Linked DNA regions of Coturnix japonica. The protein of the gene in region 1 interacts with the protein of each later gene in a biochemical or structural test. Links are inferred from orthologs where the notes say so. Each region holds a gene or a part of one and is shown on either strand. Other genes may lie near its edges.

Evidence for each region.
Region 2: the proteins of GLMN (region 1) and FKBP4 form a complex in vitro, tested with the Homo sapiens proteins (2 studies listed by BioGRID). The link is inferred for Coturnix japonica from reciprocal best matches to the Homo sapiens genes GLMN and FKBP4.

Annotation. Positions count from the first base shown.
Region 1 is NC_029523.1:12,315,796-12,319,612, reverse strand, and holds part of GLMN (glomulin), read right to left. Parts: intron 3,102-3,817; coding exon 2,993-3,101; intron 1,937-2,992; coding exon 1,690-1,936; intron 1,220-1,689; coding exon 1,120-1,219; intron 1-1,119.
Region 2 is NC_029516.1:68,427,656-68,431,952, reverse strand, and holds the start of FKBP4 (peptidyl-prolyl cis-trans isomerase FKBP4), read left to right. Parts: upstream 1-1,334; 5' UTR 1,335-1,533; coding exon 1,534-1,617; intron 1,618-2,917; coding exon 2,918-3,062; intron 3,063-4,262; coding exon 4,263-4,297. UniProt on the Homo sapiens protein: Immunophilin protein with PPIase and co-chaperone activities. Component of steroid receptors heterocomplexes through interaction with heat-shock protein 90 (HSP90).

The DNA.
Region 1 (3,817 bases):
AAAAGCCCGTTTTTCAGAGCAGCCTTAACTATCTTAACCTTTCTATCATATTCTGGTAATCTCTGCCTCCATCACTGCGCATCTTAAAAGTTCTGCAATAAAAGAAGCAAAGGTCTCACAGACAAGCTTCTCTTTCATTGCACAGCTCTAATTAATCCATGCAACAGTTCCATCCTATGCTGACTGAGATATTCTGTGGAAAAAAAAACCCAAAGTGATCATGACAGAAAAACTAATTATGGTTGAAAACAACCAAAAGTTTTGCTAGTTACATAGTGTGCTTGACTTTACAATCATAACATTGGGATGTAAAATTTTGTGCACATATAGTCTTACATTTTTAAAAACAAGTTGGAAAAGAAACAGAGTTGCATCACGTAGCAACTTCCAGACTTCCTCTACATTCATGCATACAAACACACACACACACACACGCCTTCCACCTCTCAGATGGCTCCAATTCTTCCTTTTCAGCCAGCCTCAGTCCCCACTCAACCTATTCTAAAATTTCCCTGGCCTTCTTCAGCTTTCGTCATTTCTGTGTGGTGTTTGTATGTCCCTCCTCTAGCCAGCTAACAAGAGAATGAATTCCAAAGCTCAAATTTAATGCTATTCCTTCATAGTGCCAATGTTAAAACAAGTATACCAACAGTCATTGAAGCAACTTAATTGTTGCTATGCAAAATGTTCAAAAACCAGAATAACTGCACTGGTCACATGGAGTGGCCAGCTGGCACTGCACTTTAGAGAAGTAAGAGATTTCTGAGTGCAAAATTTGGATTAATACTTAGATTTTACCTTCACTAAGCAGTGAAGACAGTAAGTCAGATGTTTGTAAGAAATCATACTTAACCAGGGAAAAAGAAGGAGCTAAAACAAGGTAGCAGCTGCTGATTCAGAGAACAGTCCAAACTGGCTTATTAAGGTGCAAAACTGCATCTGTAAGGTTTATCATTTCCAAGGATGGAACCTTAGCCTATTACAAACATTTACATACTCACATTATCTTATCCTGGACAGCCATCACACTAAGTAGTAACAGAAATGAAATGAACTTCCTATTTGCAGATCTGAACCACACAACTGCTTTGACAAACACTTCATTCCAAATGCACTTACTACAATTTCAGCTGCAAAATGACGAAATGGATGTTCTTCAATGCCTTCCAGTTGTTCAAGCTGAGCTGTCAATAATGGGTATTTCAGGCTTTTCATACAGCTGAAAAAAAACCCAACAGGTGAAACTTAAAATCTCACAGAAACTACAGCAATGTCAGCAATGGCCAACAACAAGGTCTATACTCATTTTGGATGCTGCTGTTCCAGATATTCCAAGAACAGAAGCAAAAATGTCTCCCATAGGAGCACTTCTTAAAATTCACCTCCAGAATAGATTATCCTCACTTTTGCACCTTTGAGTTGAAGCACCAGGACTGCCAAATGAGCTCCACATCACAGAGACTAATATTTCTTAATTTCCTTGTACTAAAAAATTATTTTTACTATTCTTGTTTCACTTCACAAATATGCAAAAGATGTTTTTTTCTTTTTGAAATACAGCATTAGTTTATATGTTGGCAGCACTGTAAAAACTTTAATAAGACTGTTTATTTACTGCATGCATAATAAGTGTCTACTGTTTATTTTGTTTCCTTACAGGAATATATTAAACTAATAGTAAATGCTCACAACTTCAGTAATTCTTCTTTCAGCTCCGTGTCATTGTATTCTGATGATTTTTCCATGTTTTTAACAACTTCATTCACAAAAGGTTTAGCAAAGTCCACGACTGCATTACAGCACTGACAGAGACCAAGTTTATCTTCTTGTATTTGTTGCTTTGTATATGGTACAGGCAAGGGAGTAAGCTGATCCATAATCATGGCCAAAGATAAGCCCACTGAGTAGGCCTTCTTGTTCTGAAGTTTCAAAAGCACTGAAACACAGAGAACATTTTAAGAAATTAAGTTAATGTTTGCTGGAGGAATGTGTGAAGAACAGGAACAGGACTGTATAAGAAAGTCTTCACTTTCAGGGGAGCAGAAGGACTAATATCTCAATTCAGATGTACAAGCCTAGCAAGACTTATCAGCTAATCTATTTCACAGTACTTAATATGACCATAGAATTGAGAATGATGCATTAAAGCAGTCTTGCATTTCCACACATTCCTCTTTTCTTTGTTGCAAACTCGCGAAGGCAGAAAAATCTGTCTTTTTATAACTAGACTAAAACAAAATAACATCCATTTATCTGGCCTGAAAAACCTCTTCACTGTGGCTTTCCTGCTATACTATTTCTTGTTTGACAAAAGACTTACTGCTCAGATCTGACTCTTCATTAAGCAGCTCAGAGCTGTTCTATACTCTGTGGCAAAAACAACACAGGGTCTTCCCACACTGAGGAAGCAGCACAAGCCACTTTCCATTTAAACTGATCTCAATGCACACTAGCTGCAGATCAGTTATGTAACAAAATACACATTTCTCATTAGCAAAGTGCTTCTCTTGTTAAATTCTAACTTGATTCAGTAATGCAGCTCAGAGACTGCTATAACTGGACTTAAACTTGATAAGAAGAAGGTGTGACTCAATTTCACATACCAAGAGAGAAACTACTACTTTTACCTACTTAACGAGTATCTCAATCTGTATTTTTAATTTTTGCATGTAAAACAGAATAATGCAGTTTTTCAATTCATATTTTTCAACTTGTTTCAATTACAAACAGAAGTTTTATAATTTTAAAGCTTTAAAAGTTAAATAATAAACTATCCAAACCTATGAGTCCACGTAATTCTATTTCTGTAATAAGGATGTGAGAGTTTTACAACTGTAAAAAATAACCAAATTTTGTGAATGAAGAAAAATGTTGGTTTTTCTTCTGAGGCTACCCATCTTATTTCAAATTCTCTTAAATTACTCCACCAAAGGCTAAATTAATTTTATAATGTCTGTCTTTGTCAGAAATCACATGAGAGAGTCACTGTTACCTGTCTGCAAAGGTTGAAGCAGTAACATGATAGTCTGGCACACCTTTTCTCCTGATGTCTGTTCAATCTGCTCAAGTAAACCCAAAAACAGTTCCTTTGGATTGCACAGCTACAAGAGATGGACAATATGTACATTTTAACCCCATAGTTATCAGATATAAACCAAACAAACAGGAGAGAAAAAACACATCACAAACCACAATGCAGAAACTCCTGAACAACAAGAAAACAGATTAGAATACCCAAAATTGTCTTAAAACTAATAAATATGAATAAATACATTCCTATAGTAAATGTACTGTTCTGAATGTATAAGCATGTACACTACAAGTTGAAAACACAGAAATCAAGTTTAGTGCCATCAGATTTGCTATGTTGTATAAGTACCTACTTTAGCTAGATATTCCTTAGTAGTAGAGAGAAAAGAAAAACCTCAGTGTGAATTTGGCTTACTTTGCAAATTGTTTTCAAAGTAGATAAATGAAAAAGAACTGAAAGGGAATCTCCGACAGATTAAATCTTATTTCCCCATGACTTCACCAGAATTATCAGATACTCAATGTCACAACCCAAATCCTGCCAGAGTCCACTAAGTGTCTGGAGAACACTCTCAGATGTCAGACTTGAATTCTGGGTGGCCCTGTGTGTAGCCAGGAGTTGGACTTGATGAAACTTGTGTGTACCTTCCAATCATTCTGCGATCTGCCATAGGCACAGGTAGCTTTGCTGTGGCTACATTAACTGCAAAAGCTGGTCGCTAAGAACTTTGTATTGGACAATGTCTAGCTCCGTTTTGTCTAAAATTGTCTATATTTATTAAAAAAT
Region 2 (4,297 bases), on another chromosome or scaffold:
GAACTTAGTGAATTTAAAGCACCAGAACTAGTTTTAGAGAAATGCTTTCATCCATCAGTGAATTAAGGGAAGTACACCTCAGAAACCTCAACTGCAAATACAGAGCCCTTTTCCAGTCCTGCGATGGAGGGGTTGGATCTTACTATGCATGCCTGTAGTGTAACTGCTCTGCTCAACTCATTTTTCTTTAAATTAGGTTTTGAAGCAAGAGATGAGTTTAATACCACAGTTTTACATTTGAAAAAGAAAATAAAAGAGGCTTGTCTCTAAGGCATGTGGGCCATAGCAATATCCTATAGTCTGCTGTGATGTGGTAAATGATGAGAAACAACTTTCTCTCTTCTAGGTTTAAAGGACAACGAAGGACTTGCTTTGCTATTTACTGCTGAGCAAGGGAAAGCAAGGATAATGGGGTAACTCTGTAGCTGAAAAAGGCTAATATAAAGGTTTTAACCTGACTGCAGGCAGCAGCTGACATTCTTAATGGCATACGCAGCAGTGTCATACAAACTGATAGCACAACATTAGACTGATGAATATCTGTACCCTCCTGTGGGCTGCCAAGGGTTGCACCACTGCTTTAAACAACATAAGTGCAATTCAAAAAAAGCTATGGCAGAGCTACGTTACTCTCTTCCCTTCTTTTATATTCAAACCTTTTTTTTAATCTCTGGCAAATCTTTAAAGGAAGGCTGCCCCAAAAGTAATGCCTTCAGTTTTTCTATGTTGACCACTAGGTCAGAGATGTTGGTGGTAGAGCAAGTGTTGAACCTTCCTGGGCAGGCTATTCCAGTGCTTGATCACTCCATACTTAGTAATCTGAGTTCAGAGTTTGTTTTTCTGCCTAACTAGAACCATCTTTGTATCCTGTAATGTCTGTCACTCTTTGTTTTTTCCAGCAAATACGATTTCTACACAGGTTCTAAGCCAGCATCTCCTGCCAGATATCTGAAAGATATAGACAAAGTCGTACCACCTACCAGCGCACAGTAAGACAAGCCACCAAAGCGATGCACTTAGGAACAAAACTAGCAGCAGGACACTATAGCAAGGCTTGGAAGAAAAAGGAAAAACCTGAAGCTCAGCAACCACAACTCCCTGCAAACCCTGGCACCCCCATCATGCAGGAAAAGCCGAGCACATCACCTGCCGATCGCTACCTCAGCTCAGCGCAGCCCAACCGCTTCTCCTCAACTTCTCCACCCTCCACATCCCTCAGTCAGCTCCATTCTCCCCGCCCCAAGGCACGACGCGCCCTTTAATCCTCCCCTACCACAGGCGGCCGCTCTGCGACAGCCCAGCCGCTTCTCTAGAAACTTCTCGGCTCCTCCCTCTCCCCCTCCCCTTCCTCCTTCTCACTGCTCTGGGGCTCGCGCTGCGGTGAAGGTAGAGAAGGAGGAGGAGGCGTGTGCGGCGTTTGTTCTCTCGTTGTTCGGAGCCGGAGCTGCGGCGCGGTACCAGCCCAACGCGGCGGCCGGTGCCGACTCCACCAGGCAGCCCTTCCCTAGAGCAGCGGTGGCCGCGACAGACGGGATGACGGCAGAAGAGATGAAAGCGGATGGGGCTCCCTTGGAGGGGACGGACATCACCCCTAAGCGGGATGAGGGCGTTCTCAAGGTACTGAGCGGCTGCCGCTGTCTACTACTCGGGTATTAGCCTGTTGTGAGGCCCTGAGGGGCGGCCTACGAGCGGGCGCTTCCTTCGGCCTCCTTCCCCGGGCACCGACACGCCGCCGGCTGGCCCCTTCCCCTCGGGTAGGGCTGTGAGCGGGCCGCTCACCGAGCGTTATGCTCGTACAGCCCTCATGGTTACTTACACATCAGCCGCAACGCTGCAGGCGGCTGTGTCGGCCTGCGCAGGCGCTGCCCGTGTACGGGGCTCCCCGTGGGAGCTGGCAATGAGAAGGAGCCCACGCTTTCCGTGAGGAAATCCCAAGGGAGAAGTGGGGGGGAAGACGAGGCGTCCCTCCCTGTGTCCCGCGTGGGTTTGGGAGAGCCAGGCTGAGCTCTCTGCTCTCTAGTTTGGGGGGGGTTGAGCAGATCAGTCCCGCCCCCAGCACGTGGTCGGACGCTGGAATTAAAGATGGTGCCTTGGCAAAAGTGTGTGTATGGCTTTTATCTATGTAGATGGTGCTGAGCAGTGCAGCGCTGTGTAGGCTGAACTAGTTATTTCTCACAGCCTGAAAATGGGGGCACTCTGTCTTAATATAAGCATGGCTTGGAGCCTGAGGTGGCACGTTTTACACTTGGGCCTGGTATAGATGTGCTTGGTGACAAGCACACCCCCAATTGCCTGCGGGTCTCTGGTACCTTGGCTACTCGAACATTGTAAAAGGCATCTTGTATCTCTCTACCATATGCAGTACCCATTCTTTGATGATGGAGAGGCAGGTGATAATAAAAATACAAAGGAGGAGGGGGATACTGGTAAAATAACTGAGGTTGTATGAACATTATAAAAATAAATAATGTGTGATTATGAGCTGATAAGGCAAAACATTGTGGAGGTCTTGAAGTCCAGCTCACATGACTCCAGAGTTTTCTTTTGTAGTAGTAGTGGTTGCAGGAATGCAGGTTACATCTGTTGAAAAGGTCTAACTGAACTGACATAAACCAATTTTGTACTACTATCATAGCACTGATTCCAGAAGATGTTGTTTTCATTGTTCACTAGCTTCGTATCAGAATAGTATCCAGAGGATTTGACCTGGTGGCAGCAGAGCTGCCTTTGTTTTCCCTGCATTTGAAATCTTATCTTTAGACAGGCTAGTTGTGACATTTCTAGATAACTGAAGTATACCTGCAAATCTGTTGTTGACTGGAGAGGGTAAGTCACACGCCTTAAGCGAATAGAATTGAAGTCCAATAGGCAAATGTAGTTTTGATCATTTTAGAGTTGCTTACTGTTTTTTTTTCAGGTTGTCAAGAGAGAAGGCACTGGTACAGAGTCTCCGATGATCGGTGATAAAGTGACTGTCCATTATACAGGATGGCTTCTTGATGGCACAAAATTTGACTCCAGTCTGGACAGGAGAGACAAGTTTTCATTTGACCTGGGGAAAGGTAATAACTTATGTTTGCTTTTGGTCAATCTTAGTAATATTGAGATGGAGTTTTCTTGCACACTTTTTCACTCACTAAGATCACTATTTTAACTTGTTTTCAGAGCTAATCGTTAATTCATATAAACAGATTAACTCAGAAGTGCTTTGAGATCTTTCTGAGTGGGCATTCTGTGTATCTGGCTCAGAATTCACAGGACCTCAGATACAATGCTCACCTCAGTGGGAGTTTACTGTGAGATACAGCAATAAAGGCAGTTAAATAGCTGCAGCATATATTTTGTTGATAGTTTTTTGTATTGCTTTTGTATCTTGTTGCCTCAAATTCAAGAAGAGTTAAGTGTAGCTGGGTACTGGGGCAAGGATGTGAAAGTACTGGGACAGAGTGCACAGGGGCAGCTATCAGCTGCAACTGAAGGAAAGAGGAAATATGCTCCCTCTATCCCTAAGCTCCCAGATCTAACTGTTGAAGTAAGTCTGTAAGTAAGTCAGATTTGAGTATGAAAATCCAAACATCCTAGTTCCTGCAAAATTTACTACTCAATCTGTGGTTATCACTAGGAGTTCTTTACCTACTGGCTTTTTATTTGGGAGATAAACTCTACGAAGTCCTGAAATTTGGGATGATAGAATTTTACCAAATGGTACAGGGCAACTTGATTGAACTGAAAGGAACCACAAGTAGGAGCACTTGAGTTGAGAGGTTTTTGTTACTTTGGCTTTAGGAGGGATACTTGTTCTACTTTCCTTCCCCTTTCTGTTATAAACCCACGCAACTTTCAGTTACCACTTACGTTGGCCTTTGCCAACTGATAAAGTGCAGAGAGACTGGGCTATTGTGGGCTGTTTTCAAAATACAAGCAGACAGTCTCTTACCCTAAGACCTTATTTTTTGAAGAGCATTGCTACTTGCTCACACTTAAGATTTTGTCAGGTGCTTTAGGCATGATCTGTGTCTAGATTACCTATGTTCTGTATGGGTGAAGAAATGAGGGGAGAATAATAATCACTGTAGAATGAAAAAAAAAAACCAGCTAAATTTGGGTGCCCAAGTAACTTTGTAAGTTGATTACAAATAAAACTGATGTATATAACCCAGAATGAACATAAGTCAATATTTCATCTTAGCCTGTATATACTGACAGAGCTGATTGTCTTTCATGTATACCTAGCATTCATGATAAAAACTTGCTTTGTGCAGGTGAGGTGATAAAAGCATGGGACATTGCTGTAGCA